Linked DNA regions of Saccharomyces cerevisiae S288C. Changing the gene in region 3 together with the main gene of any one other region gives a genetic interaction. Each region holds a gene or a part of one and is shown on either strand. Other genes may lie near its edges. The genes, in order: BNA3, DIA1 and SIM1.

Evidence for each region.
Region 1: mutations in SIM1 (region 3) and BNA3 together harm fitness more than expected from each alone (negative genetic interaction), as found in Saccharomyces cerevisiae (one large-scale study listed by BioGRID).
Region 2: mutations in SIM1 (region 3) and DIA1 together harm fitness more than expected from each alone (negative genetic interaction), as found in Saccharomyces cerevisiae (one large-scale study listed by BioGRID).

What each region holds. Positions count from the first base shown.
Region 1 is NC_001142.9:320,470-331,896, reverse strand, and holds BNA3 (kynurenine--oxoglutarate transaminase), read right to left. Parts: upstream 8,512-11,427; coding exon 7,177-8,511; downstream 1-7,176. Other genes in the region: ZAP1 (Zap1p), read left to right, coding at 1-1,466; protein kinase IKS1, read left to right, coding at 1,776-3,779; BIT61 (Bit61p), read left to right, coding at 4,024-5,655; amino acid transporter YHC3, read right to left, coding at 5,707-6,933; linker nucleoporin NUP82, read right to left, coding at 9,740-11,427. UniProt on the Saccharomyces cerevisiae protein: Catalyzes the irreversible transamination of the L-tryptophan metabolite L-kynurenine to form kynurenic acid (KA).
Region 2 is NC_001145.3:900,667-910,567, reverse strand, and holds DIA1 (Dia1p), read right to left. Parts: upstream 5,744-9,901; coding exon 4,733-5,743; downstream 1-4,732. Other genes in the region: YMR317W (uncharacterized protein), read right to left, coding at 1-3,204; YMR316C-A (uncharacterized protein), read left to right, coding at 4,595-4,906; YMR315W-A (uncharacterized protein), read right to left, coding at 6,175-6,282; YMR315W (uncharacterized protein), read right to left, coding at 6,719-7,768; PRE5 (proteasome core particle subunit alpha 6), read right to left, coding at 8,155-8,859; TGL3 (bifunctional triglyceride lipase/lysophosphatidylethanolamine acyltransferase), read left to right, coding at 9,261-9,901. UniProt on the Saccharomyces cerevisiae protein: Involved in regulation of invasive growth.
Region 3 is NC_001141.2:122,018-133,294, reverse strand, and holds SIM1 (putative glucosidase SIM1), read right to left. Parts: upstream 5,145-11,277; coding exon 3,714-5,144; downstream 1-3,713. Other genes in the region: QDR2 (cation transporter), read right to left, coding at 1-1,051; POG1 (Pog1p), read right to left, coding at 1,630-2,685; AYR1 (acylglycerone-phosphate reductase), read right to left, coding at 6,198-7,091; alpha-ketoglutarate dehydrogenase KGD1, read right to left, coding at 7,562-10,606; RSC chromatin remodeling complex ATPase subunit STH1, read right to left, coding at 11,224-11,277. UniProt on the Saccharomyces cerevisiae protein: Involved in the remodeling of the cell wall during the various phases of yeast culture development and under various environmental conditions. Required for the maintenance of the CLB5 kinase activity.

The DNA.
Region 1 (11,427 bases), on a different chromosome or scaffold from region 3:
ATGAAGTACCGTTTGGAAAACACATTAACCACCACGACCACAATAATGCCGGTAACGGCTGCGATGGTTCGAGCACAGGAAATAATGAAAACGGTAACCAAACAATGAATCTTCTATTATCAAGCATTAATAGATGCAACCCTAAAAATAATCTTAATGGAAGCAATAACAATACGGCTGGAGCAACTTCAACTGATCATCAACACCATCACCATAGAATACAGTTTCATTCTCACAAACCAAATAGAAACAATATTGTGAACAATTCAGGGATTAGCGCGGCGAACACAACAGCCGATCTAACTAACAACGATTTAAATGACTTAATTTCAAGAGAGTATAGTTATGAAAGATTTAGAAATCAAAGTGAGCCCCCTTCGCTACCCAAAGTCACTCATCAGAATCAGAAAAATCGTAGATCTTGGCCTACAAAAGATCTAGAATCTACTGATTTCAGCTCTTTGGAAGACTCATTACCTTCTAGCATCTCTCCTCCTATACAGACAACAAGCACTATAAATTTCAACTGGTGTTTTAAAGAAGAGAAAAACAATGACTTAAAATGCAAATGGAAAGAATGTCCTGAGTCTTGTAGCTCACTATTTGACCTACAAAGACATCTTTTGAAGGATCATGTCTCTCAAGATTTCAAACACCCTATGGAACCATTAGCTTGTAATTGGGAGGACTGTGATTTCCTTGGAGATGATACATGTTCCATAGTGAACCATATTAATTGTCAACATGGTATCAATTTTGATATTCAATTTGCCAACCCAGACTCATTTTTGCCTGGTAGTATATCAAAGGAAAAACATCACTTACTACATTGCCCCAACCCACAAACACACGAAGTTTCTAAAGCAGATGGAGCACCTGATATGACGTCTGCAAATGATGTTTCCAATATACCGCCAATCAAGCAGCCGGAACAGGTGATTTGCCAATGGGATGGTTGCAATAAGTCATTTTCCAGTGCTCAGGAATTAAACGACCATTTAGAAGCAGTACATTTAACCCGGGGTAAGTCTGAATACCAATGCTTGTGGCATGACTGCCATCGTACGTTCCCCCAAAGACAAAAATTAATCCGTCATTTAAAAGTGCATTCGAAATACAAACCTTATAAGTGCAAGACATGTAAAAGGTGTTTTTCAAGCGAAGAAACTTTAGTTCAGCATACCAGGACACACTCTGGCGAAAAACCTTACAAATGTCACATTTGTAATAAAAAATTCGCGATTTCAAGTTCTTTGAAGATTCATATAAGAACCCATACTGGTGAAAAACCTTTACAATGCAAGATTTGTGGTAAGAGATTCAACGAATCGTCAAATTTGAGCAAACATATTAAGACCCATCAGAAAAAATACAAGTGCTCTGACTGTTCCAAAAGCTTTGACGATTTGGGAAAATTGAACTCACAGAAAGTGAAATGCGCATTGGAAAGAAAACCATATTTATAAATGTGATCATCATGGTCCAACGTAAGAAGGGCGGTTTTCAGGATCACATAAATGCATAATTAGAAACATTTCATATTTTACCTAGACTACTTTTTATTTATAATTTTTCGCAAACTCTTTTTTGTAAGCTTTTACAGTACACTTTTTTTACGTAATAACGTATTTCAAGCTTTATTTTTTGTATACGTTTCAGAAAAGGGGGTGGGGGGGAAGGACATTGTATATATAGATCCTATGAGTGACAACTAGGTAACCGAAGAAACACTATTAGATATATAGTTTGAGGGATAGCATAAGTAGAACTTAGAAATGAGTTTAGTACCATATGAAGAAGGTTCGCTGATTTTAGATGATCCTAATTCTAAATCAGTGGTGGTTGTTAATCCAACCTCAGGAACTTTATCATTTTTCCAACAGGACAACAGTAATAATGACTCTGAACTAAATGAAGACCAGACTGCATCTTTATCAGCACTGGACTTTCCTTCAGGGATTCATCAATACAAAAGCCCTATTGCTTCCTATGTGTGCCCGCAATGTGGTACGGAAATTAACCCTGATATTATAAACAGAAGACAACTTCATCGTCGAGCCTCTGCTGGAGTAGAATCAGAAAGCAGTAGGCTCAGTATTCCAGAGAACACTGTGCCACTTGGATTTGAATTTGCCAATTCAAGCTTTTCAAGAAGATATTTTCAGTCATTGGAAAGAAATCATCGGCACTACGCCCTACAAAACGATAGTAACAATAAGCAGGGACAGTTCAGCAAAAACAAATACTTTATTCCAGATGATTTGTTTATCCCCGGATACTTTCGTAAATTTTTCAAAATATTGTCTTTGCTGGGAAATGGTGCAAGAGGTTCTGTTTACAAAGTTGTACACACAATTGGTAATACTGAATTAGGTGTTTTTGCACTAAAAAAAATACCTATTGGAAATGATATGGAATGGTTTAATAAGTGCATACGGGAAGTGAAAGCGTTGAGTTCGCTAACTCACAAAAGTGCCAATTTGATTACGTATAATCATGTGTGGCTCGAAATGGATTCTTCGGTTGGATTTGTCAGATCCATTGATGGGAGCCAATCGGATTCACAAGAAGAAGTTCCTTGTATTTTCATTTTACAACAGTATTGCAGTGGCGGCAATTTAGAAGACTGTATTCTAAGAAAAGTGTTCAATAGGTTCTCAGATACCGAATCACCTGAAGAGAGGAAAAAAAAATTTAGAACTCGCAAGAAAAATCACGGTAAATCAGGAGAAGTTGGCCTATCTACGGAACAGCTCGTATCCATTATAAGGGATATTGCAAGAGGTTTACACGAACTGCACAGTATTGGCCTAATACATAGGGACTTGAAACCATCCAACTGTTTATTATTGACTCCATTTAAAAGTGACAATGAGAATGACAACGTATACGACAGGGAACACAATTCAGATGAGTTTTTCCCATCAATTGTTATTGGCGATTTGGGGGAAAGTCAGTTGGAAGGAGAGTCCAGATTGGGTACTGGTTGCACAGGAACATTAGAGTTTACAGCACCAGACCTTATTATCCAGGGGAGACCAGTTTCTTCTTCTACGTTGCCTTCAAGATCGAGTCACACATACAATGAATACACCTTTGCTTCCGATATGTATTCTCTAGGAATGATTTGCTATTTTATTGTCTTCGGTGAATTGCCCTTTGAACCACAGTTGGATATAGTTGATTTGAAGGTACGCATCAAAAATTTTAGGTTCGACACTGAAGGTATGATTGAAAAGCATCAAGCGATGAAATTGAAACCAATAGACCGTAGAATATTTCACCTAATGGACGCTCTTTTACAACCAAATAATGATGCTAGACCCACAGCGAAGACAGTGGAGGAGACGTTAGATGAAATGCTAATAAATTCCAAACCCGGCAAAAAATTCTGGAAAGAAAATGTGGATAGCACTTTGAACTTCAGTACAATCTCGGAAGTGAATGAGAATACCAACAGTTTTACTGATGATTATATTGACGGAGACAACGTTACTTTATCATTACCAGCACCAGAGGAAAATTTGAGCACCGTATCAACCCAAAACCTCCAAAAGTATTCTGCTTTAAATAGAACAATCCAGGTTTGTTACAAACTAGTTTCTATGATATTAACGATAATCATATTTAAGTGTACCAAAACGGGGTCGTGGCTCTCTTATATGTCACTGATATTGTTGGGAATGGTTTTTAAATCACCAGCTGATGAAAGAGGTAAGCATGCAAGAGCGTTGGTTTTACTGGCCTTCATCGCCGCATGCAAAAAATACATATACTAACAATAAGTACACATTGCAAACTAAATAGCACGTAATTTATTTTTACTTTACAAATTTATAGAAAATATTCTCGCTTATCACCAATGTTCACGAATCATCTTCACCTCTTCTAAGGGCCGGTGACAAAGGTGCATAATGTTAGAAAAATTGACCGATGAGTAAATTTATAGAGGGAATAACCAAATGAAAAGATCTAGGTGACAGAAACGCCAATTGACCTCTGTAGAAATAAAGTTCTTTCATTATGACAGCAGAAGATATACTCCTTCGAGAAAGAACATCTACTACGACACAACGCCCTGTCAATAGCGAACAATACCTTAATGTGCAATTAGCCACAGCCCCAGTAAAAAATTTTCAGACTACAAGCGAGATTAGCCGGCAAACTCTTGTAGACACATCAAATGATGACGTTTATTCCATCAAGAATTTGAAGGGCTCGAGGAACCCCATTAGCCCTAGTGTTTCTAACGTTGGCTTCCAATCCATATTCCATACAGTAGATCATCCTCGATCGAAGGTCAGTGTGGCCTCAAATCATTCCTTGAGGAGCAATGACAATGCCTCAGCTGCAACATCTAAATCTGGTTCTTCTCAGATAGGGGAATCTCATAGCGTTGACACGGTGGAGTGCTCGAACAATCTATCTAAAAAGTTATCTTCTGATGCAATATCCATTACTCAGAAAAGTTTACACTCCACGCCCTCCGGCAGGTATATGAAAGGAAAGGCTTCTGGCTTTTTTAATAGGAGAAACAGAGCACATACGACCATTTCATCGGATCCTGCCTCCTTTTTGACAGATTCAAGCACCTTACATAATAGTTCACATTCATTTCGAAACGTGATTAAGAACTTTTTCCAAAATAAAAGCCACAGGCACATTGGTCAAGATGCTATCGAGCCTGCAATTCCAAATTCCTTGAGTAAATTTCTGCATTCCTCTTACGGAAGACATAAATCTCCGTCACAATTTATTCATACTAATGCGGGGCAACTTGTGGACTCAGGAACTTCTGTGTACTCATTGAATGTTAATCCATCTGGTGTCAATCCCAACACAATCGTTGAGGATCCGCTTTCTGGAACTGATCCTGCCTCACCGAATCCGGTCTCAATGTTACACGACCTTTTAAGAAATTTACCATCTCTGGAAGCTAACTATAAACACTTCAACTCCCAAGAACTGACAACCCTAACAAATAATATTTGGAATATATTTTGTAGTAACGTAGCAGAATTATTCAGAACTCAAAGAATATGGAAACTCAGGGCCAAAATAGAAAATTTTAACGAAGTTTTAGAATTCTATTGCATTTTAAAAACAGATCCAAGAGTCACACATAGCGGCATGAATAGAATTATCAGCGATTTGAAAGAATTTTTGGTTAGTTCCCTATACAATTTAGAAAACCAAATTGTTTTTAACTATTCTAATGAAGACACAATAAATAACGCATTGAAAAGATTAGGCGTTATATGGCGGATATTTTATCAAGAGGTATATTATGATTTAGCCGCTGTGTTATTACCGTTGGATCAGAGTATCAGAGAAGATGGTAATTCTACGGTTTTAAAGTCAGGCAATGAAAGTCGGACTCACATTAATGGTAATTATTCTATTGGGTTTCTTTTGCTTATGTGCTTTAGAGATTCAATAGTCTTACCTTGTTATGAAAACTTCGTAAATAGTAACGATGGTATCAGCAAAAGTTTTCAACTTTACATTTTCAATCAAGAAGAAGAAAGTAATGTCACAGAAACAGATAAATTGACATTACTGCAGTGTTTTGGCATATTGAGTACCATTCAAAGTAATGATAGAAATCAACGAATTATCGAAGAGTTATTAGCAGGCATTAGAATGAGTATATAGAAAGCATCTAACACTTTATTTCAATCTCCTATTTAATATCACAACAAAACTTTATTCCATCCTACACCAAGGTCTGTCATCGGCAATTTGATGCCTACAAAGTTTGGGTTCTAGCCCCAAACCAAGTAACGCAGCCAAAAAAACGCCAAAGGAATCAGCGATGGACACAGCACCCATGGCGAACTCTGTTTCATCAGGATCCTCTTGTTCGAGAATATTTAAGAATGTGTTAACATATGACGCACCACCAAGAAAACCCTCATAGAATATTAATATCATCACCGCCCAGGGCGAATGTGTGACATAAAACCATGATTGCAGTACCGTTATGCACAAATTCACACCTTGTAAAAACGCTAAGATGTATAAACTCCTCATTCTCATAAGATGTCCAAAGGATCTTGATATAAAGACACCTAATTGGTAGAGCGTTCCATAGGTTACGTATATATCTCTGTATTTATGGAAGAAAAATGGCATCGATTTACTTCTTTCATCACCATTAATCGGAAATAATAGGGTCGGAGCTACCGCTTGGTTTATTAAATATTCGAATAAGTAGACGGTGGTCAATGGAACCATGTATGGAAAAACCAATCTTCGAAGTCTCTTGACCGTTTGCAAAATGTGCTGTCTTGTAGAATACAGGGATTGCGAAGCGTTGGTATGTGTAAAGGCGACAGGAAAGGGCACCAACTGGTCATCCTCTGCTTCGTCAATTTGTTGAAGACTTTGGTAAGTCAGGTTGGTATCATTGGATTCTAATTTAAAATAAAACAAAAATGCAAATGGAAGGAGACTAAATACTAGTAAAGTTAGCTTCACTGGAACTTTAAAGATTGAAGTTAAGAACATATAAGATGCTCCGCCAATGATTCCTGCACCACCAGTACCTGACGACCATCCATTCAAAGAAATTTGTTTGTAATAGTGTGTTAGCTGTAGGAATGTCACTTCTCCAAATCCGGAAGATATAGATGCGAAAGATATTCCTAAAAGACAAACAAACAAGTTTTTAAAAGAAACTAAGAACATTCCTAAGCAACTCATCGTGATCAAAGACCATATTCTATAGCTGTACTTGATTCTATCAATAAAGAATGGGGAACACAATTTAATGGCGAGTGATGGGAATATATCTGCTAGCAATACTAGAGATTTAGGCAAGGTAGGACCCACGATATCAACAGCTGCTGAAAGTATTACCACATAAAGTACATTATTGATCAAACCAAAGAGCCAAAAGTAGCAATATATCTGATGAGATTTGTCACTCATTTATATTTACTTGCGCTATATCTTCATATGTGTTTAAGTACTCTATAAATACACTGTTCAAAACATTACTAAATGTTCATATTGTCTATTTTTCATTAAGGGTTCACTTTTTCTTGTAGTACGCGAAGAAAATATGGAATTATTCTGGAATATTGATGTTTATATTTACCACTTCTGCATAAAAATATACATGCTTTATAAAATCTATATATTGAGAAAAAGGAGTATAAAAAAAAATTTATCTTATAAGTAGTCCTTGAGTAGTTTTAATCTCTCTACGGCATTTTCTAGATAAGCATCATCTTTACAAACTGCAAACCTTAACAAATTCTCAGCAGCCTTTTCGTGCTCTTTGATATAGAATTCAGTTGGTGGAATGGCAACCACACCTAATTCATTGATCAACCAGTGAGAAATGCGAAAATCTTTTCCCTTATTCAGGATCTCCTCTGGGTAGGGATAGTCCTCGGGAATTTTCACTTTAGAGAAATCAACGAGGACAAAATATGTACCCTCTGGAGCTGTATATGGTAGTCCCAATTCATCAAAGATCGATGTGAAAATTTTGAATTTGTTGATATATTCCTGTCTCATTTTTTCAAAATACCCAATTTTTAAAGCGTCGTTAATAGAGTTTGCACAAGCTTCCTGTAGAGGGGATGGAGATGCAAAACAAATTCTTGTATGTGCCTTAGCTGCATAACTTAACAACTCTGCGTTCAAGGATAAGACCCAACCAATTCTCCAACCAGTAGCAGCAAACGATTTACCGGCAGAACCGACCGTTAAGGTTAGTTGCCCAATTTCTGGAGAGAGTGTGGCAATTCTAGTGAAAGAATCAGTGAAGTAAAGGTGTTCATAGACTTCATCAGATATAATCACAACGTTGTGCTTGACGCAAATGTTACCTAAAGTGGTTAATTCCTCGCGCGTGAAAACTTTACCAATTGGGTTGTGAGGGGTATTGATAATGACAGCTTTTGTCTTGGATGTAATCGCTTTTTCGAACTGCTCAAAGTCAATGGTCCATTCTTCACCTCTAGTATTCCTTTGATCCAATTCCTTTGGAGGATTTATGGGGACGTAAACAACTTTACCACCGCAAAGTTCGATATTTGGAATATATTGGTCAAAGAAAGGTTCAAAAACAATAACCTCGTCGCCAGCGTTCAAAAGCCCCATCAAGCAAGAAAGTATACCTTCATTGGCACCTGTTGTTACGGTAACATTTTCCGCTTTCAATTCTGTGTTATAAATAGGAGAATACAACTTAATCAAGGAATTAATTAATGAAGGTCGACCTCTAGTTGGAGAATATTGATTGACCATTGGAATGTCTAGGGCTTTCTGAGCCTCCTTAATGGCGAATTGAGGAGGGGAATATGAAAAAAAGCCTTGGCCTAAATTAATAAGTTCACGGCCTTGGTTTTTGGAGTTATTGGCAGCTTTTGCAGCGGCTTCATTGGTTAGCGACCAAACATCTTTGGCAGTGTTAGAAGTGAAATATTTGTTGGCAACAACTTTCGGTCTCGAAGTAGACATTAGGTTCGTAAATTGACGAATGAATCGTTGTTTCATTGAGAGCAAGTAACAATGGATTCTATACGCAATTATAGTAAATTGAACACTTTATATATATCTCTATCGTACCTTCCCCTTTTAAACATGACTGAATTTTGGTATCTTGATTGTCATAATGACAACAAAAAAGCCACAGTTCTACGTCACGTGCTAGACACGACATGCTACTGAAGAAATTGTTATCAAATGAAAAGATACATTTATGTAATAACCACTACCAGGCACTTGCTAAAAAGAATCTACGTAAGAACTACATAAAGGTTAGCTTGTGCGCCAGAAAGTGATATCAAAGTTTTATGAACGCTGAACAATTTTGAGCCAGTAATTATCTTGGCATAGGAGACGATAAATGCCATCGTTCTTTTAAAGAGCTTATTAAGTTATTAACTCTCTTCGATTAGACATTCTCTTATCAAACGAGTTACGTTACATTTAGGAATAATGCGACAAAGATGGAGGTCTTGATTCCTAAATCCTACTCAAAACAATCTGCTCTACTGTCAAAATCCTTGCTCCGTAAATTGATTTCGTTGTCAGACGCTCACCGTACAAGAAGTTTGTGGGTATTTACATCGTAAGAAAAGTGCAACCAGATTCAATATTGAATTACCTGAGCGGTGTCTTCCTATATTAAAATGACGATTTTGTTTTTCTTTGTATTGTGAGGGTAGCAGATTCGTCTTCTGCACTTTTCATCTACTATTGCAAAGCCTAATACAAATACAGTTGTTGAATATAAAAATTCGAAATCAGCCTTCCATTCTCGAAAGTGAACAAGGAAACTCACTGGATAAAAATTCACACGAAAAGAAAAAACCGAAAAAAAGTAACTGTGTTGCTTGCAGAGGGTTTGATTACTCATAACCGAGAGACACGATCTGTAGCGGTGATATGAACGTATTCCTCACCTTCTTCTAACCCTTTGGAATAATAGTTTCCATCACTCTTTACAAAAGTAGCATTACTCACCAAATAAGGTCATAAAAAAGACTTTTATTTTGTATACATGTAAATTTTGGCAGCGGTTAGTGAGGTAAAAGAGATACGAATGAATATACGATACAATGATACAGCATACTGAAAAATCATCCTAACGATTTGGTGCACAGAAGGCTTTATATATTGACCAATTCATATATAATGTCCTCTTGCTACATGATATTATACCATTGCCCAGTTGTTTCTTAGCGTACATATATGATAGCAGACTATGCAAGTCGCTTACTCATTGAGTTTTAGTAGTAAATTCCTGAGAAACTTGTAACAATTCTTCATTGCATTCTTTAATTATCTTTGAATCTATTTCAAGCATTTTGCGTAGCTCATCCCATTCGTTTTGGCTCTTTTTATCGACTTTGATAGTTTCTGCCTCGATACGAGTTAGTTCACTCTTCAAGTACGATAAATCTTGTTGAAGGGATTTTTGAGAGTGAACAAAGCTGTTGAATTGCAATATTTGGTTTCGTATCTCTTTGAACCATTTCATCTCACCATGGCTTATTTTCTTTTCTTTAAATTTATTGGATTCGGCGATTTGAGATAGCTTCTTGCTCAATTTACTAAATCTCTCCATTAATTCTGACTGTCTGCTTAGTTGTGCATCCCATTTCTTATTTTGTGCTTCGAATTTTCTCCTTAAATCATCATCCTTTGAAATTATTTTGCATGTCGATTGTAGTTGGCGCGTCAATTCGAACTGTTGCTCATGAATTCTATTGTGGATAGAAACACCCAAAGTTTGAGCTTTAACAATTCTTTGCAAAAATTCTTTGGAAATATCCGTGAAAATTTCCAACTGATTTTCACTAGCTTCGTTTTTTAAAGGTATCTGGCGGTCTGCTGATGGGATAATTCGTTCACATGGACTAATACAGGCTTTTTGAAAATTATCGTTCAAAATAAGAATCTCATTTATGGGCTGTGTGAAACTCATTTTAAAACCATCTCCTACCGTGTCACTTTTTTCTGTACTGATACTTGTTTCAGCTGCGGTGCTTTGCGGTTTCATATCGCTTGAAATATTTTGAAAAGTCAATGTTTTATTCGACATCAAGGCTAAATTAGATTGGTCATTCCAGTTGATATACGCTAGGTTTGGAATTCTTTCTATGGTGGCAATATCCTCAAGTTTACTTTCAAATTTCAATCCTGCAAGTGGATTCAAATCCGATTCGTTGATACATTTACTCAATGTAGAAGCCCAGCTCATAAAATTTACTTGTTGTATAATATTATCGGAAATGACATAAAGTTTTCCCAACTGTTCAGGTAACGTTATTAGAGACTTAATTTCTCTTTGTAGTTTGACTCGTTCAATTAGAACCAAAGAATTATTATACACGTAATTGTCAACATCCCACGACATTGACATTTCCAAATCTTTGAAGAGTAAGATTAAAGACCCATCATCAAAACTGACACAAACAATTTCATTTTGCCCATTATCAATTAGTATGGTTGCAATATTTGTAGCAGTATAGTCATACAGCTCGCCGGGAAAGGGGTTTATCGTGAATGGTCCTTGAACCTTGGCTAAACGATATTCCTTTTGTATGTCGACTTTGCCAAATCTTGAATTCCAATTTTCATGCAGTTTTGACACAAACTGTAACTGCTTAATAACATTCCTTTTAACTATAACATCTGTTGTAGAATCCAGGGACTCGTACATTACTAAAGATTTGTTTAGGATCAAGTTGAGATCTTTCTCATTTAACAGTAATACTGACGGTAAAAATGGATAAAATGCAAAGATATCACCGCCTTCTGTGGTGTTTAGACAATATAACGTCAATCCGTCCTTACTGAATTCTAAATCTGTGATGTCGTTAACACGTGCATCTAAACCAAAGGAGTTGTTCGGTTTGTTCAAAACGATAGGCTTTTCTTGCGAATTAAGGATGTCAAACATCG
Region 2 (9,901 bases), on a different chromosome or scaffold from region 3:
AATTATCGTTTCAAGGGTAGTTTCACCCCTCCCGATCGGACTTTCAGTTGAAGATTTCGCAACAGTTGATGTGTTTTTCGCTTTAGTGGTTGATACTCCTTCTGAATTTTTAGTTGACTTGCTTTTTGCTCCCTCTACAGATGTGCTTCCTGTACCTTGACTTTCTGATGGGGAAGTTGATGGTGAAGCATTCGTTGCAACGGATGTATTTCCTGCAGCTTTACTTTCTGATGGGGAAGTTGATGGAGAAGCCTTTGTTGTTGGTGAGGTTTTTTCGACAAAAGATGACGAGCTCCTCACCGTTTCTGATCCTGGTTTAGCTTTTTTAGTTTCCTGAGAAGTCTTCATATCCTTAAAACTTTCCGAAAACGTGGACGTTTCGAAATTACTTATTTTAGTGCTAGTGGTATGTTCTGCCTCATCTCCACTTGTGGTCGATGTTACTTCTTTTTCTGGGCAAGTAGTAACAGTAGAAGCATCAATATCTGTTATAGTAATAAGTGTGGTTGACTTTCTATTCTTGGTGCAACCACCCGAACAACTTGTAACAGTTCCTATGGCAGTAGTCTCCCTACTTACGATTACTGTTTTGGTTATGTTGTAATTAGGAGTAGGGTTGCTGCAATTGACTGTTGAAGTTAAAGTTTCAATTTGTTTAGCAGTAGCTAGAACAGTTGAATTAAAGATATTTCTGGCATGAGCGGATGTTGAACTTAGGGAAGAAACAAATGTAGTTTTGTTAGGGAGTGATGTTGCAATTCTAGAGGCAGTTGAGGAATTTCCAGACCTGTCGATTCTGGGTGTGACCAGGATGGAGCTAGAGGTAGTTGATTTGCTTACAAGTTGTGCACTGGATGTTGAAGGAGCACTGAAAGTAGTTAAATTGTGGGCCGCTAATGAGGAAGTGACGTCGCCACTCGCTAATGGCACGCTGGAAATGCTTGAAGTGGATTCAGTAATGAAACTAGCTGTACTTGGCGAAGGTCTAGCAGAGGTAGAATTATTTATAAATGGGGCACTTGTGGTCATACTGGAAACGGTTGAAGGAGCCTCTGAAGTAACCAAAGTGGAAGTAGTTGGAGAGCTTTCAGGTGTCGAGAAACTATAACCTGCCAATGATGAGCTAACGACAGTTGAATTAATTGCGAGTGACGCACTACTGGTGGAAAAGCCGGGAGTTATCACCGAAGTATGAGAGCTCATGGAGCTAAATGTGCCTGTTGGAACGTTAGAAGCACTTGTAGCGTTGGATGTTGATAAAGAACGGGCAGTAGCTTTATTACTCAAAAGCGATGTACTAGATGTGGCCAAATTGGATTCGTTTGTAGTTTCAGAAGAAGTTATACTAGAGACAATTGATGAAACGACTGAGTTTTTTGTTTTGGTGACAATCAGCGAGGCACTTGCAATGGTGGAATTATTGTCAGATGGCGCACTGGAGCTAGCCAGGTTAGAGGAAATTGATGAAGCTTCCGAAGAGGTGATATCAGACCAGACCGATGGAAGTGGAGATGCGGTTAAACTGATAGACGCTGATGGAGAGGTTGTAACGGTAGAACTATTGCCGAATATTACACTAGACTTACTCAAGTCGGAGGAAGTAGATGAGGTTTTGGAAGTGGCCATTCTGGAATTACTTGACGAAACCTTAGATCCAAGTGTACTAGATGCGGCGGATGTTGTGGTAGAAACGGTCGAATTGTAACCCGTCGACAAAGAGCTTTCAATGATTGAATTGCTTGCTAATGTCTCACTAGAAGGTCTTAGGCTAGAAGTTACTGACGAAGCTTCTGTAGCAACCAAAGTAGAAGTAACTGATGTATTTTTAGAGCTAAACAGTCTAGAACTTGCTAAGCTGGAAATTGCCGATGGAGCTTCCGAACTCACTAGGCTAGACGTTGCCGATGAAACTTCTGAACTCATTACGCTAGATTTTGTTGACGAAATTTCCGAACTCACTGAGCTAGACGTTGACGATGGAGCTTCTGAACTCACTGAGCTAGATGTTGACGATGGAGCTTCTGAACTCACTGAGCTAGATGTTGACGATGGAGCTTCTGAACTCACTACGCTAGACGTTGCCAATGGAGCTTCCGAACTTACTGAGCTAGATGTTGTTGACGAAATTTCGGAACTCACTGAGCTAGATGTTGACGATGGAGCTTCTGAACTCACTACGCTAGACGTTGCCAATGGAGCTTCTGAACTTACTGAGCTAGATGTTGTTGACGAAATTTCGGAACTCACTGAGCTAGATGTTGACGATGGAGCTTCTGAACTCACTACGCTAGACGTTGACGATGGAGCTTCTGAACTCACTACGCTAGACGTTGCCAATGGAGCTTCCGAGCTCACTGAGCTAGACGTTGCCCATGAAGCTTCTGAACTAATTACGCTAGACGTTGCCGATGGAGCTTCTGAACTTACTGGGCTGGAAGTGATGGATAAAATTGTAGAGGAAAATGGTAGGGTTTCAGAAATAGTAGAGCTTGCGGGGCTGGAAGTACTTGATAGTAGGGAAGAAACATCGGACGTGCTTGAACTAAAAACTTCCTTTGAGGCATCGGAAGTAGTACCAACTGAAGTGACAGCCGATCCTGAGGAACTTATCTTTGGAGAAGATGAAACGTCAGTAAGCGTGGTAAATGTGGAGGATGTGACTGCAGTTGTATCAGAAGATGAAGCAGTAGTTTCAAGGACAGAGGACTTTCCCAATGGCTCCGAAGAGGAACCACCTCCATTTGATGAACTGGTTTGCGGGGAAGATGTTTGAATAGCACTACTACTTATGGAGTCAGTCTCTGTAGTGGAGCTGGACAGTTGTGCATTTGTGGAGGAAAGCGCACTGTATGAGTTTGAGGGGCCAGAGGTTGATGATTCGACATCGTTGACTGATGTACTAGAAATATCGGATGATGTGTAAGAAAGAGAAGAAAAAATGGAAACCAATGACTCCGATGATAGAATTGAGGCAATTGTATCAGAGGAGAGCGACGAGCTAGAAGTAAACTCGGGTACAACAGAAGAAACTAATGTGCTAGAACTACTGACAATAATTTCTGGGCTAGTTGTAACTTTAGTGCTTGTCGTGCTTGTCGTGCTAGTGGTAGTAGGCGTAGTTGTACTGGTTGTGCTACTAGTAGTAGTCGTGCTACTATGCGATGTGGTAGTGGCTGTGGTCGATTTTGAACCAGATGAACCCATTTTGATACGGCGCTACCCTTTCTTGTGGATACCTTTTCTATGACAGAATCATTGACAAATCTGAGGGAACAAAATTACCACAGGTGTGAGTGAGACTTTATATAAAATTAATATTTCATTTTTAGCTTTGTTCCACTTGAGAGGAACATGGGCAAAGATAGAGACTAAGAAAACATGTTTTCAGAACTTTACTGTTGACTGCTGAACAGTCTTAGCAAGATGCTTATTTTTACGTGAGTTCTAAGTCGCCGTGGACTGACACCTTCGCTAAATTCACAGGCAATGATCGCAAACGAGCTTCATGAAAAAAAGTTTATTTTGGATCAGATCTGCGCATGGTCCAGAAAATTCGCCTTAACGAAAGGTACACAATTTTGCATTAAATGTCAAAAAAAATAGAATATGCGATACAATTATACCTGAGATGAATTTAGTAAAGTAGGTGCAAAAGATGGTATAATACTTGAGCTACATCTGGGAAACTAAAGCACATTTTACGTTCAAAGCGAATAGTAAATTAGAGAGAACAGTTGCGCGTGGAAGGCACGGGCACCGCTAAATCTAAAGAAATTACATACTATTTCATTCTTGCTGTCATTTTTTCCTCATTAATCACCACTTTTAAGCAGGATATAAGAATAAAAAACTCGATTTGAATAAAAACTATGCTTTCCTTGGTACATACGTCCTTTTGAGTACATAAGTAATGTCAACTGTGTAGGAAAGAGGTGACGTCCTAGGCTCGGCTGTGTGATATTACTTTTTAGAACCTTTTTGATAGAGGCTAAATGGTAAGGAAAGTTAATTTTATTCGAATTTTGGGCCACCTCTCTTAGAAAGGATTACTGCTAACTTCATAGTGTCAGATCACTCGTGTTTGTTCTGAATAATGAGGCAGGCGGTATACGAAAGAAGATATCCTGCTTATTTGGCTCCTATTGTTCAATTAATTAATCGATTGGCCAACGACTTTCCTATCGTATAGAAGAAACTGTTTGAAAAAAGATGGCTTATCCAGGAAGGCGCCTGAACAAGTTCTTGCTTCCCACAGTAAAGAAAAATCAAAATGGCCGCCATAGCGGTGCAGGAAGGTCTTGCCTATCGAGGATATTGTTTTTACTCCAAAAGGAAAGAGGAAAGTTAACAAAATCAACTTTTCAAACGGAGAGTATAACACCCGGAAGTTAAAAACTGTGAGGAAGATAAAAAGAAATCTTCACGAAGTTTTTTCCATTTTGGTGATCTAATGAAGTCAGCTATCACTTTTTTGCGCTACGGGCTTTATGTGACGCAATAGCCCGTGCCACTTTAAACTTTTTTGTGCCTTGGCACCTTTGGCAGTATACGAAGAAGATCAATTAAACAAGAACGACGAGATCTCGGACAAGATATGACAGGGTTTAAAGTTTCTTCTTTTTTTTATATTCTGGCATTGTCCCGCTTTTTCAACGCAGGAAGGGAACGAGCTTGTGATAAGTTAAAAATTACAGTTACACATCTATACTGGTTTATTATACGCAAACTTTTGTTACATGAGGTTCATGTTCATGTTAGTCGTGTTTGCAACGTTTCTTTTATTTTGTCTCCTTGCCTCTTTCGCAATTTTTTTACGTTGTCTCTTCATGTACTCTATGTAATGTATGAGCAGGCTCTGACACCCGAGTTCTTCCGTCAATGGTGGGATATTATTCAATCCAAATGATCCTTGATCTGTGGAATACTCGCCAAGAATTAAGTGGCCCTCTTGAGCGACCCACCTAAAAAGAGATGTTTCAAATTCTCTAGTATAATGAGCTGCCACGAACCTCTGAACTTTTTGATCCTTTTGGTCGATGGACATCTTATTTTTAGCGGCTCTAATGACATCTTCATCCAAACGATTCACTTCATAATCTGCTAACAGAATTAATTTATAATGATCGTTGGTAACTACGGGCGAATAAGTGACATGCCACCTGAGATTTAAATTATTCACTTTAGTGTCCAAATCCCTGTGTCCTTCTCGGTGAGCCATTGCTAGTAAGTTGGGCTCCGTAGACGTAGTCCCTACGAAGCTGTAAGTTACGTTTGCTTGGCTGACATTTTTATATATGTCGTAAAGAGGCACTTTATACAATATTAATCCGTTGTTTGAGCAAACGATTTTTGCCACAGTATAAGGCGGAGGTTCGTCTGCCGTTCTTAAAATAAATTTGAAAATTTTATAATATGGGACATTGCCGACCACAGTATTGCTATGACCTCTTTTACCAAACGGTAGAGTGCAATTGATAATTTGGAATAATGGAATACCAATTGCATCTGGACTCAGCTCATTCGAATACTTTTTAGTGTTTTCAAAATTTTCAAGCGATTGCTGAGACGGAAACATGAAAAACCCATCCTCGCCGTTTATCTCGGCTATGGGCATTCTTCTTTCCCTATTAAAATGAAAGCACTCTGGGACACTTTTGCTATCGGACATTTCAATCTTCAATCTCTGCTCATCTTTAAGCCCATCTGCTGCTTTCTTAAGAAGGTATCTACTTATTGAACCCATAATCAGATTTTTCTTGAAAAACTTTTAATGGAAGCTTAGCACCTGCTTCGGTCTTCTTTATCTTGGCGAACTTTGCCAAATCTGTAGTTGTTTCAAATACTGTCATGTTGGCAGTCTTCTTTTTATATGCGTTCACGCCGATGGCCAAGCCTACAACATTTTCTCAAAAAGGGACCATTGTCCCTTGCTGCGCCAAAAAAAAGAAATAGGCGCATACGTTCCGTCATCTATCGCTCACAAAAAGTGGAACCGGTAGGATTTTATCACTGACACATACCGTTGTACTAAGAGAGCAATTAAGTCGACAACGCAATTGATATGCGCTCTTCGTTATCGAACCCTAGCGGTGTATTTTTCGGACAAACTTACTGTTCATTATGGCCGAATGCTTACCTAAAACGACACTTCTGGTCGTTTTCAACTCTCATGCTCTAAGCAATTAGGCTTTTGGGGCGAAGCGGACAAGCTCTTAAGGCCGTGAATAAAGAAAGGGAGATGAAAGGACGCCGTAGCAGCTGCAATAGCTTTCTTTCGGTCATCAAAAATCCCAGTGAATTCTTGGGGGACACTTGTGGGGTTGCATTACTCGAAATGCTTCGGACGAGTACCTGATTCGTTAAACATATATATATCTCATGGTGAATTGGAAACGGTTGTAGATCTTATATAGGAAAAGTCATTCATAACTAGTTCCATGCCGACTAAGTATTTCGTCCAGGCTCGGCGTTCTTGTTGAACGAATTTTCCCATAATCATCCAGATTTCCAAGAACCTCGCCTTCGTAACATTTTGCAACAACAAGTGGATGGAGAATTTTGGCTATTTTTAGTTCAAGAAAACTTAGAAATTTTTCAACGGTTTTTTATCTCGTTAGTATTATCATTCCAAAAGTATACTTATGTGGGTACATAGTTATAAATATATGAGGGAATCTATCTATTAAGGTTAAAAAAGCGTTACATCGTAAAACGGTAATCATGGCTGCTCAATTTTAACGTAGTCACCATTCTTGGCAGAAGATTTTAAAAACGCGTCCACACAAGCCAAATGGTGAAATGCAGTTCTGGGTGTGCCTAGGTATAAGGATTTGTCCTTCTTGCTGACAGCTTCGTGAAAATTCAAAAATTCAGCGTTGACGCCGAAACTTTCATCATTATCGACTTTAAAAATTTGTTCGTCACCGTTATCTTCAGCTGAACCCCCTAATTTGACTTTTACAACGGGGTCTTTTTTGTCTGATAAGTCAACGGTAACGGTACCATTCTTACCATAGACTTTCAAGAAAACCGACTTTTCGGTAGCACCAAAGGCAGACCCATAAGTAAAACTTCCGATAACCTCTTTATTTTTCAACTGGACAGTAGCAAAGACAATATCATCTGCACCGGAACGTTCACGCACCTGTCTCGTTAATGCAGAAACAGATCCAAATTCACCGAGTAGGGAAATAACGAGAGCTAATTGGTGGACACCACCATCAGATAGAAATCCGCCAATGTGCTCTGGTTTTTGTCTCCAGGTTGTGGTCAAATATTTATTTTGAGTAACAAATGGACCGGTAGAATTGTGGGTGAATGCTACTACAGGACCAATTTTCTCGATCTGCTCCTTTGCGATTTTAATACATGGTAAATATAACCAATTTTCAGCCACACCAACGGGCAATGGGGTGGATTCTGCTATCTTGACAATCTCCTTTGCTTGGTCTAAGTTGGCCGCAATTGGTTTTTCCAAAATAACTGGCTTACCTGCTTTAACTGCCTTCTCGACAATATCAGCATTAAATTGAGCAGGTAGCAAAGCGTCAATGTAGTCGACATGAGGGTCATTCAAAATTTCATCTAGATTGTCGTAAACCTTATTTTCAGGTATGTCAGCAACCTTTGCAAAATCCAAAGCTTTTGCCTTATGTCTGTTGAAGGCGGCAATGACTTTGAATTTGTCAGGAAATTCCTGGTAGGATGGGAGATGTCTATCTCTGGCAAAAATACCTGTACCAACTATACCGACGTTCAATGGGGACATTTTTGGCTATTACTTTACTTTTTGGAACCAAGAAGTGATTATGGGTCTATTCGATGTACAGAAACAAATAGGTTTGAGCGAGTTCGAAAGTTTATCCAGAATAAGTAGTTCTTTTTATAGACGAACACCTATGTATTGTGATACATAATCATGCTGAATTTTCAACAGGGGATAACTCCGTTTATTCCCCGGCGGAGGGCGGAATTAAGCGGGGTTATTAGTTGATTTGGAAGCCACGTCTTTTTTAATTTTGAATGAGAAGTGAGACTACGTACTAAGTTAATCTATTATTATCTTTATATGTAAAAAAACCCCGACCGTGGTGAAAGGCTTCTTTGGTCTTGCTTTGACAATTGCTTAGTGGAAACGATACTTTGTGTCCAGACCTAGATGTATTTAGCAACAGCTTCTCCATCGTAAATTGTAAAAGGCGTATCCTTACCCACGATGGCGATTGAAAGATTGTCTACAGTCAAGGATTCGTCCCTTAGAGACTGGCTGATAGCCTCGACGCCAGCTTTGATTAGTTCATCCGGGTTCCCGTCAATTTTTATAAACGTGTCTAAAGTTCTCTCTAGATAAGTCTTTGCCCCTTGGCTTCTTGCGCCAATAGCTGTACCATATAGTTCTGTGACATTTCCGGAAGGTTGGAATTCTAAAAGATGAGCACCGCTCTTGTCATACCCGATGATCAACAAACCAACACCGTAGGGTCTGCCCCCATAGGATTGTGTATTTTTCTGTGCTTTATCGCAAAGCAAATGACCTGCTCTCTCGACGGCAAGCTTTCTGTTAAAAACTAAGCTGGAGTAATTACACTGTTGTCTCAAATAATTACTTAAAACTCTAGCATCTGGAGCCAACCCGGCTAACGAGAGCCCCATGTGCTCGTCACATTTGATGATTTTTTTCTGGTATGATGACAATTCGTCTGCATTTCTTTTCAACGCTACTAAAACAGCATGAGTGTTCGAACGTAACCCCACAGTGACGCTCCCTTGTTTAATAGCTTCCAAGGCGTATTCCACTTGGAACAGACGGCCTGTAGGAGAAAAAGTGACTGTGTCCCCGTCGTAATTGTTCCTGAACATGTTTTGTAAATATATGAAGGCTTAGTTCAATGTATTCTTACCCACTTCTCTTGAACTTCAATTGATCACCACGTCTACCTAAATGTAGTGGCGTCTTGGTTCTTTTCCATACTTTGACGATACTTTTGAATTTTTAATTTTGCCACTCTATAATAGGGTATGTTCTTTATAGGTCATTTTTACTTTTTTAGTAGGGCATTTTAATAAATACTAGGTTTTTAGTAATTTCGGAGATACTTATCCTAGGTCTGAAAATTCAACCCTAACCCTTTTTTTCTTATGTTTTTTTTTTTCTGGGTAGCAGCTAATAGAAATTAGTACTGATTACATAGAGAAGTACTATGACACAATAGTAAGGGAATCATCTATTCATATATCACATCTTTGAGTTGCCGTTAAGCATGAAGGAAACGGCGCAGGAATACAAGGTGTCTGCTGTAATACCGACCCTTTTGAAAAACTGGATACTGCGTGTAGTGTATGCCACATTGGACCATATACCTCCTTTTGTGTGGGAAATTCTACATGTCATCACCGATATTTATTTCTTCTGGGTTCAAAAGCTGATTAACTATGTGCGGCCACACTCAAGAGTCATTTATTATAACGCTATTAAGAAGTTAGATGAGTGTGATACGTATCAAATGTGGTGTCAGCAAGCGTCCGTAGTGGATGAAATAACAGGCGCAAATTTATGGCGGCGGAATTTCTTTTCGAGGAGGTACGACTTCAATTCTGTCATTGAACAATATAGCATATTGGAAAATATGTTAAGGGAGGAGAAGTATGATGTAGTTAAGGAGAAGTTTTCGACTACAGGCCCTTGTATGTTGAGGAACTTTGCGGGTATTGGAGATAAAAAGTTGTTCACAAAATCTTTGATGGGTACAAAGCTACTTATTGAACAATATTTGACCCGAATTCTAGAAGGCTTGGATATATTAAATAATCAAACTTTAACTCCAACATCCTTTTTCCAAAGATGTAAGTTGTCACTGGGCACAACAGCATTAATCTTGCAAGGTGGTTCATTGTTTGGGCT
Region 3 (11,277 bases):
TACATAATGTGCAGATACCGGAGGGAAGGTAGCATAATCCTACCTTTGCAACAGTCAAGTGATATTGTTTACTCAAAGCTGTGGATAACGCCGTAAGGTGCGTAGTATACATGGCAAATTGTAATCCAGCGACTAGCATAAGTATACAAATTTCATAAGCTTTCAAAATCTTGAAGGGCGCCAGTAGATTTAGTTGCGTGGGCAGTTCCAATGTTTCGTAATCTGGATTATCCAAATGCAATGATTTTCTTACTGTTGGCAAAACAAGAATGGGAGCTCTATTTAAGTATGATTTTGGGGTGACAGAACCATTCCCGGATATGTTCCTCTTTGTTTCTGGCAAAATTAAAAACGAGGCTAGGAAGCAAATGCCAGATCCAATTGCTAAGAACCAAAAGATGGCTCTCCATCCCCATCTAGATGATAATCCGGCACCGATAAGGGCTCCGAACGCAGAACCTAGAACTTGAAATCCAGCAACATATCCAACGTACCCGCCGCGCTCGGCTCTAGTAGTAACATCTCCCATTATTCCGCTGTTAATCGCAATCACGGGTGAAATACCGGCGGCTTGTAGACATCTTAGCACAATGATCTGAGCATACGTTTGAGCACAAGCAAGACCGATGCAGGCACCAAAATAAATGACGATTGCGACAAGCACCACCGGTCTCCTGCCCAGTGAATCGGCAAACCCGCCCATGAATGTGGGGGCAAGACCCTGAAATACAAAATATACTACAACAGTGACATTCACCAATTCCTCGTCAATATCGAATTTTCTTTCTATAACGCTCAGAACTGGATAGTAGATGGCACCTGCTATTGTGGAGAAAAACCCAGTGAAAGCGCACTGAGCTATTAAAACTGTCTTGAAAGAACGGGAAAAGCGTGAGTGAGGCGGAGCGGTTATCTCCGGTTCTGGCTTTACACTCTCGGTCCTAGTCAAAGCCAATTTGTCTGCAGTTTCTCTATTATATGACTGCATACTCTCCGCAAGCTCGTCCTCAAAATCATTTTCCCGAATTATACTTGATGTTGCTCCTGCCATCGTTGCAGTACTCAAGTTTGAGAGCAGAGTTTCTACTAAAATGACCAGCAACTGACTTGCCGTTTTTACAATGTATATTTATATACCCCATTATCTAGAGATTGCTTCTTTATCTAGGAAAAGATGGTGACGCCGTTTATCTGTTCTGTAACCGCCATTACTATTTTCATCAGGGCCAACAAAAAAAAGTCCAGTAGCTCATACGACATCATCTGAGCCAAGACACATTTTCTCGAGAAAAATGTGGTGAAAGGCACAGATTTGGGGGGGAGGTCAGGATGCTGAAAAATTATTACCTCCGTCTTACGACCGCTCAGACGGGTAAGAACACCGGGGGTGGACAAGACAGTTAAGCAGACTGAATCCAAAATGACAGCATATATTATCAATATCCTGTTTATTCATGATTGAAATGAGATAAGGAGTAAAGGCAAAGAAATCGTAATAATAACACTGTAGCATATATATGGATATATATTTTTTTTTGAACTGAAGTAAGGTGGACGGATGCATCGAATGAAGGTTAGGAAGGGATATAGTTTTAGAAATTAGGTGATAAAAATGAAAATTACTGCACGTCATGTGGGAGGAGGATGTTTTGGTGTATGAATGAGAAAATTGACGGGCCTTTGGGACGAAGCCGGCTGGGGATTTCGCATGGGCGACCTAAAATTTGCCATGGAAATATTGGCACTTTGTGACCTTCTATGACTAAAACTTTTTCTTGACTGGTCTCGTTCCTGACCAGGTTGCAGCTGGTGCTGCTGCCCGTATATATTTGCCTGTGGGCCCATACTCATTACCGGATGAGCACCTATATTTTGTTGGTAAAGGCCATGCTGGTTCAAGGAAAGAAACTGTGAGCTCATCACTGGTGTCTGGGACTCCGAGTTTGAGCTCATTGTAGGAAGCTGAGCTTGTGGTCCCATCCCTGGTGGATATAAATACTGCGGCATTATCTGTTGCACTTGTGGTTGCGGAGGTTGCATATACGGGTTGCTCATCCACTGATTTGCAGGCATAGGTAAAGTATATGCGCCTGGTTGCTGGTGTATTTGAGGGTATCCGACCCCTGTCTCAACTTCTGACACTGTAGGTATATCAGATCTATATCTTCTATGGCCTCGTGGACTTGCAAGTTCGGAGGCGTTTATCTTGCGTTTCTTTGTCGTTATCGGAGACGGTATCGTAAGATGATTGTTGTTATCATTATTTGTATCTCTATTCATGGACATATCAAGAATCTTGTTTAATGTCGAATCACTTATTTTATCACTTTCCATACATTTATCAATAATCTGGTTTAGTTTCGCAAGATTTGACTCGCGTATCTTTTCTAGTTCTTTTGTGTCGTTTATCAATCGTACGTTTAAAAATTGCTCCACTAGGCCAGTGTCGCATGCATTTAGTTCTTGAATATCGTCAAACCCAAGTTGTTTTAATATTCTTATTCGAAGCGATAGAGACTTTTCTGTTTGCGATGATTCCACTGGTCTACTGTTGGTACTCTCGTCTCCTGTACTAGCTGTCACGGTTGTACCAGAAGATAATGAGGTATGCTGCTCTCGTTCAACAGCCATTGGTCCTTTCGGCTTCTCTTTTTCTTCGGATTGTCTATGTGGCTCCTGCTTCATAATATGGCATCCACTTTGATTTTCGTCTTTACTTATTTTTTTTCAATTTCTGCAATTAATCGTGGGACTCTTGAAATGTTTTGCGCCTTTTTGTATGAGTTAAGCGCAGGGATTGCACGCAATTTATTTCCTCTTCTGCGTAGCCTTTAAAATACGCGAACCTTAAGTGATATCAGTACGCGATTTGATCTTAGTTTTACTTATCTGTTAAAATAAGATACCTTGGGTTCCCAGTGTCTTTTCTACTATTGCTTCACACCTTATTATTTTTGTGCACTTTTGCTTTTATGAGAATAGGCAGTGCATACCTTTTAATTTCTTAGCACTCTGAATTTTCCAACCTCTACGAAAAAAAAGGAAGAACTTACAAAGTTCCCCCATCTGAAGCAGTAAATTTCCAAAAATTTTTTTCACCATCCGCATTTTCCCTTTTTGATCCACAATTGCCCAAAACAGTAATATTTTACGGGTAATGGCGGGGCAAAGCTCATCTCCGCAGATCCTCTTCGCGCCGACAGGCGCTGGGGGCTGAAAACACTACGTGCGGAAAGTTGTGCCTTCATGTCCTGATTCGGAAATGTGATGATTTCGTAAACCTACACAATATCCCCTTTGAGACTATTGCAGAGCTGCATATGTACTATTTTTAGCTGTCTAGGAACAGGCTACAGTAAAAGGAGGCCGGAAAGCTGAAGATGAAAAGAGTTCTTAAATTTCTTATGGGTATCGGACAGTATGTGTTTTCTTATGTAAATCTATTTAAAATTGTTCCGTCTTTGAAAATCTCTCTATCCAAGAATACTACTTGCTAGTTAAAGATAATCGTAATGAATCTTGGCTATATTTGGTCGTCTAACAAGTTCACTTGGATAATGGTACAGAAACATTGAGGCCATTAACGAAAAGAAAAAGGTGGACAGTATAAATATCGGTAAAAAGAAAAGGGGACCATAGTGATTGTGTGAGGTATAGGGGGTGAGATGTGTTCGAAAAAAGAAAAAAAAAAGGAAAAGTAGTAGTCACGTAGCTTAATTGTATAAGACGAAATGAGCTTTACCGGAAGTAACAGAGACGGTACACCCGTCAGCACCGCCAGAGAACTCACCATTTTCGTAAACACATTCACCGATGACATTGGATGAATCATCAGCAGCAACTATCTTGACGTTGTAGTTCAATGCGTCGCTGTTGTTTGGGTTAGGAATCAATGATAAGTATGTCACTCCACCAGTGGAGCCAGCACCAAAGTTTAATGGTGCCCAGTTACCAATACCAGATCCAGAAGTACCCCAGATACACCCATCTTCAACTGAGACGCCGGCGTTATTAACGTAGTATTGAGCAGATGTCTTTTTGCCTTCCCAAGTAAAGTAAGTATCTTGGTCAACAACGGTCAATGGCAAAGAGCTACCCCCTTCAACATAGGTTGGGATAACCATGTTTTCAGTGCCCGGGTAGTCGGTTCTGCAAATGGCGACACCCTTGCTTAGTTTAGAAACAACATAGGCAGCCTCGACACCCCATTCACATAAGTAATCCGCGTCAGTGTTAGAACGGTACAAATAACCATTTTTACACAACAAACCCCCGACAGATCTACCGTCAGATGGTTGATCGGATGGCCATTGGGTCTTAGACATACCTGGTTGGCAGGAGTAGGAACAGTAGGACCCCTCCTTGCATGAACCGCCAGTGGAAGTGTCGGTGTTTTCCACACCGGACCATCCACCCTCGCCAATCCAGTCAATAGAAATGACACCTTGACCAGATGGGAATTTGTCACATGGAATAGTGCCGTCTTGGAATTTCTCACTTGGGCCTGAAAAGTCGGCCAAATCACCGTAGATACTACCACTGCCAGAAGAAGAAGAAGAAGAGGAGGAGGAGGAGGAAGAGGAAGAGGAAGTAGAAGAAGTGGAAGTAGAAGTAGAAGTAGATGGTGAAGTGGAAGAAGTACTAGATTTAGTGGCAGAAGAAGCACTAGATTGGGTTGCGGAAGAAGTTGACACGACAGTAGATGTTGGAGCAGCTTCTTCACTAGATGAAGAAACAGAGCTGCTTTCTAGGGTAGAAGTTGCCGAGGAGGAGGAGGAGGAGGAGGATGCCCCTTGAGATGTTGAGGCAGTGGCAGATGCAGCGGCATCAGAGATTTTCTCATTCTTGGCTAAGGCAGCAGATGAAACAGCAATGGAAGCGGAGCTATCCGCAGCGGCTGCGGAGGAGGTTGGAGCCAACACAGATGTTGTAATGATAGCAGAGGTAGCAGCAGTAGCGACTTCTGAAGCAGCAGGAGTTACAGTGTGGCCATCAGAATCGACAACAACAGTTTCGTAAACGTATTTGTACGCAACGGCCCTCTTATGTTGGTGGGCATCTTCTTGGTGAACATCCACGTGTGGTAAAGCAGACACGATGGCACCAGAACTAATCAACGTAGTAACGGCAGTTGAGAATTTCATTTCTGCAAAAAAATAAAGGATTGGATATTAGTTAGTAAAGTGTTTTTTTTTCTCTTGTTTTACCTCAAGTATTGCTTTTCTTACACAAAACCTTTCCAAATGCAAACCAGTCTACATCTTATTTAAGATATACACAGCTGCTATGCTGTGCTATGCTGAAAGCATTAATGGCTATTTTCTGGTTCTTCCTAATGTAGATCTGAAACTTCTATTGACTGACGCGAAACGCCAAAAAAAGGCATGTCCGGATCGGGAAAAAGTGTCCGCATCAGGAAATTTTCCGCCGCAATTTTCGTGACGAATGTCGTTCAGGAGAAAGAAACGAAGATAAAACCAAAAATAGCGGTTGAGCACGACTAAACTAACGTTTTGAGGACGCATTGGCGGTATTGGAAAGGGTTGAACTGCTGCAGAAGCTGAGCAAGCCTTGGTATTCATGGCAATACGGATTGTAAAGGTGTATGAGAAAAATTGTGGTAAATAACTTACTAAAAATAAAGCTCAGGTTAACTTAAATATTGTGGTTTTTAAAGGAATGTAAGTAGTTGGGTAGCACTAAACAAATGTTTTCTTGCTCGCTAGTTAATTTTTATAAAGGAAGGACTGTAAATAGTTGGAATTCGAGAGGGGAGCAAAGAAACTGTTTCTTTCAGTTCAAATGGTCTTGCTATAGTGTCTTATTCAACTGAGTAGATATATATATTTGAATATGCTGTTCTCACTTTTGAAGTAAGAGAGGGAATGCGAAGATAAATACAGAATAATTTCATGTAGTTTATAAATAAACAATGGCAATTTTGAAAAAAAAAAAACAACAAAGCACGATGCGAAATGAGCGAATTCCGTCCCAGCGCGTTTCAAACGGTAAGAGCAAAGAGAATGAGTGAAGTGACAGGAATTTGGCATACTGGTACGACGAGACGTAAACAATACTTAAAGAGCAGTTGAACATTAGCATTAGAACGATTATTAGCTATTGATGTCCTGACGTGGTGTACAAACTATACGGAATCTTGTATATAAATATAGGTAGCTATTGACGATGGTGAAACACTAATCGTCCTTATTCTTCTGTTTCGACTTCAAAGCATTATTAACTTTGTCCAATTTAAATTTTTTGGAAAGTCCTTTTTCCAATAGCCAGTAAGGAACAAATATCATGACAAAACGCATGATGTTGGCGAACGTTCCTCTATAAACATCTACAGGGTCACTAGTGCTCAAGATATCTTTAACCAGTTGCTTTGCGTACGCATCAGCTGGCATGGGCTTATTGTCCTTAGCCATGGTTTTTCTTGAATTAAAAGCTTCCCTACCTTCAGGGAAGTTGTATATTGAGGTTTCAGGCAAGGGCCTTTTATCAGCGATATCAGTAGCCACACCGCCAGTAATAGCGTTAATCACTCTCACGTTGAAGGGCTTCATCTCTAGATGTAACCCACGAGCATATTGGTGGATAGCAGCTTTAGAAGCGGAATAAATGCTACCAAAGGGGAATGACACAACTCCTGCCAAGGAACCAGTGAAGACAATGGTTCCTTTCGCTTTAATAAGGAACTCCGACAATTCACGGCACATGTTGATATGACCAAACACATTGACCTTAAAGCATTGTTCTACTGCAGCATCTGTTGCATCCAATGCAGGGAATGTACAACTCTGACCGGCATTGTTGTACAATAAATCTAATTTACCATCAGGTAAATTAGCTCGCAAAAAACCAGAAAATGTTACAATTTCTTCTGGCTTGGAAATATCCAACTTATATGGTTTGATACTATCGTTACCAAATTGGATGGCCAATTGTGCCATTGGTTCTAGTCTTCTTGCACATGCATAAACCAAATAGCCATTTCTGGCTAATTCCTTCGTTACCTCATATCCAATACCACCTGAGGCGCCTGTAACAACGGCAATCTTTTTAGGTTGTGACTGTAACTCCGACATACTCTTTGAAATCCTGATCAATATTTGAATTGAGTATATATTAATAGAAGTTGGGCATGATGAATAAAACTTATTCACTCTATTTACCTACCCCCTTCCCCCTTTCCATTGACTTATTTTTCACTTTTTTTCTCCACCGGATGAGGACAAGAGAAGCACCTAGCTGTGAATACACCAGAGGAGGAAGTAGGGGGAAAAAAACGATATCAATATAAAGTAAAGAATGATTCTTGAATAAATAGTAAATACAACTAATAAAAAAAGGTTCACATAAATAAAACGTTAAATTAAATAATTTTAAAAAGACTAAGCAGATGCTAACATCATGAACAAAAAAAAAATGTGAATGTATCAAAAAAAATATTTGTTAGATCATTCTTCAAGTAAAAAGGCTGTCCATAAACATTAAGGTAAAAATATTACGTGTTTATATGGCTGTATTTTCATGTTTTTCATATTTGAATTCATCTTTAGGATTGTTGGAAAACATCTTTCAAAAAGGCATCTTCTTCGGCCAAATGTAGTGATTTGCTACCGGCAGCAACAGCACCACTTGGGTTTCTACCACAGTATCTGACCTTGAAATCCTTATATTTATCCGTTTCTTTTAATGTTGTGTGTAAGCGTGGTTCTGTGTATGCCCACGAACCCATGTTCAATGGCTCTTCCTGGCACCAAACAATTTCTTCCAAGTTTGGATAAGAATTTAATGAATCACGTAGCTGAGCAAATGGGAATGGGTGCAGCTGTTCAATCTTTAAGAAAGCAGTGGTCTTATCACCCAAACTTTCACGTCTTTTATGTAGGGCAGTGTACACTTGGCCACTCAGCAAAACTAATCTCTTGGTTTCCTCTTTCGTACCAATACTTTTTCCATGTTCAATATCTTCGATAATCCATTGGAATCCGCCTTCAGTGAATTCGGAAAGAGATGATCTGGCCAATGGGTGACGCAGCAGCTGTTTAGAAAAGAATAACGCCAATGGTTTACGGAATTGACGATGTTGCTGTCTCCTTAGAATGTGGAATAAATTAGCAGGCGTAGTTGGATAAACAACCTGGAAATTACAATCCTGATGTTGTCTCTGTAGCTTTTCTTCAGATGGGAAATATCTTGGGTCTTCATTGGCTAGTTGCAAGAATCTTTCCAATCTACCAGACGAATGTTCTGGCCCCTGGCCATCATAACCATGGGGTAAAGACAAAACTAAACCAGAGCGTTGCTTCCATTTTTGTTCACCACCGGCAATAAATTGGTCAATAATAACCTGTGCTGTATTTGCAAAGTCACCGAATTGAGCCTCCCACATGACTAGATAATCTGGGGAGGTTAGCGAATAACCATATTCGAAACCCATTACACCGTACTCAGATAACGAGGAATTTGCAATGGTGAAGTCTGCCTTTTCATTATTCAGAGTGCTTAGCGGTGTGTAAATGGCTTCAGATTGTTGGTCATGCAAGACTGCATGACGTTGAGAAAATGTACCTCTTTCTACATCTTCACCGGAAACCCTAACGTTCTGACCATCCAAAACCAATGTACCGAACGCTAATGCTTCACCGGTGGCCCAATCGATGCCTTCACCTGTCTCAATAGATTTTCCTCTATTTTTCAAAATTCTCTTTAGATTTTTGTGCACTTCAAAACCTTCTGGCCACGAAGAGAGTACCTTACCTAGTTCTTTCAAAGTACTCTCTGGAACATTAGTTGGTTCATGTGGTAATATCTCAGTGGCCAATTCCTTTGGGGATTTGAATCCTTCCCAGGCAGCAGTTAACCATTCTCTTTGAGATGGGACGTAATCCTTTGCCTTTTCGAAAGCATCTTCAAATAAGTTCCATACCCATTTCTTGTGCTCATCAATATCTTTTTTAGAAAATGTGCCTTCACTTATCAATTTTTCCGTATAGACGTCAATGACAGATTTTTGTTTTGCAATTTTTTTGTACATTAATGGTTGAGTAAACGATGGCTGATCGGTTTCATTATGTCCATGTTTTCTCCAACCAACGACATCAATTATGGCATCTGTGTGGAACTTATGTCTCCATTCTGCGGCTAAATTGAAAATAAAGGTCACAGCTTCCACGTCATTAGCGTTAACATGGAAAATTGGGGCATCAATGGCCTTAGCCAAATCGGAAGGATATGGTGTGGACCTTGCAAATCTTGGATCCGTAGTGAATCCGATCTGGTTGTTTGTAATAACATGAATAGTACCACCAGTAGAGTATTCTGGTAGGGTCAAGAAACCCATGGTTTCATAAACAACACCCTGCCCAGCAAAAGCAGCATCACCATGTAATAACACACCTAAGGCCTTTGTTTTTTCCTTCAAATCGTTCTTGGCATGCAATAAAGCTCTAGTTCTACCAAGAACAACTGGATCTTGGGATTCTAAATGAGAAGGATTTGCCACCAGCGATAAATTGACGTACTTACCAGACGTAGTTGGTCTTTGGTAGTTCATACCCAAATGGTACTTGACATCACCCGATCCTTCAATATCATCGCGAGCGCTCGAACCCTTAAATTCAGAAAAAATAGATTCATTTGGTTTACGGACCACATTGGATAAAACGTTCAATCTACCACGGTGAGCCATACCCAAAACAATATCTTCTACACCCAATTCAACAGAACGATCAACCAAAGTTTTAATACCTGGAACAACACTTTCCAAACCTTCTAAACCGAACCTCTTATCATTTGGAAATTTTGTAGATAAGAATGACTCAAAAGAAGTGGCCCATGTTAATCTATCTAAGATTTGTCTCTTTTGGTCCACTGTATATTGGTAAGGTTCAGGAATCTCAATTCTCTCTCTTAACCAATCACACTTTTGCTTAGATGGAATATGTGTGTATTGTACCCCATAAGAGGAACAATATAACTTTTCTAGATGATCCACAATCTCTTTCAGAGACATTTTAGATTTCCCGTCCCTTGCAAACCTTGGCAGGATACCAGGTCCTAGGTTGATTTCTTTATCAAGATCGTGTTTGCTAAAGCCGTAGTAGTCTAGAGTCAATTCCGGAGGAACAGGGTTATTTTTATTACTACCAAATGAGATCCCTAAAGGATCTATATGGGCTTTTAAATGACCTCTAACTTGGTAAGCTCTACATAGCAATTGCACTTTTAGATGAATGGAGACGTTCTCATCTACTGAACCAGTCATTGCGGTCCCTAAGGGAGCTGCTTCGGTACCCTGGGGAAAGTTACTGATACTGGGAGGAGCCTGAAAAGCCTTTGTAGCTGGAATCTTTGGGTTAGACATATTCTTGAAATATGCGTCCCATGAAACATGGACTGAAGATGGGTCTTTTTGCCAAGCTTGGTACATTTCATCGATATAGGTGGCATTTGATGTCGATAGAAAATTATCTGTACCAGTGGTGGCTAACCCTCTTCCGACAATTTTGACAGTAGATGCATTTTTAAGTAAAGATGTTTTTAATAGTCCTCTTGAACTATACCGGCAGGTTTGCGAAGACACGAACCTTAGCATAACGGTAAAATTTAGTATTTTCTAAAAACTGCTTTCTTTCTCTTTTGTTGTTTCTTTCAAACGAAACTTTAATTTGGGGAAATTAGGAAGAAGTATGATGCTGAACGAGAATCGCTTCCTTCTCTCTTCCTATCTATATTCAGCTGCTGCGACTATGTGACAGAAACAAAATTGAGGGCGAAAAACAAACAAGATATGATCTTATTAAATAACACACGGGTTTGTTAAAGTATAAATAGTACACACCCAATGAATCTAAACCGTTATCGTAAATCGGACTTACATGTAGGTCTTGACTCCCGCAGTCCCTTTGCCAATCATTTATGTGTAATGCCTCTTTCTTATTTGCAGAGGCCCCTTCCTTAGCCCCGGAATCGCAAACGGTCGAAGCTAACTGGTCCATCGCCGCCGGGTAATTATTTTGCGGCACTAATAAGCCCAGAGAATAAGCCAAAGGATATTAGTTACTCAAAGAATTATATTCGCTCTGTCGATCTTATTGTTACAGTGGTATATATTTTATAAACATATGTAGAGGTAGAAAAAAAGGCTAGAAAGAGTATTAGAGGGGAAAGGGATATAGTCGTAAAAAAAAAAAACATGTGGTGATGAAAACGTTACGAAGAGTGTTCCTTGAACCATTCATCAGTAAACTCATTTAACTTGTCAGC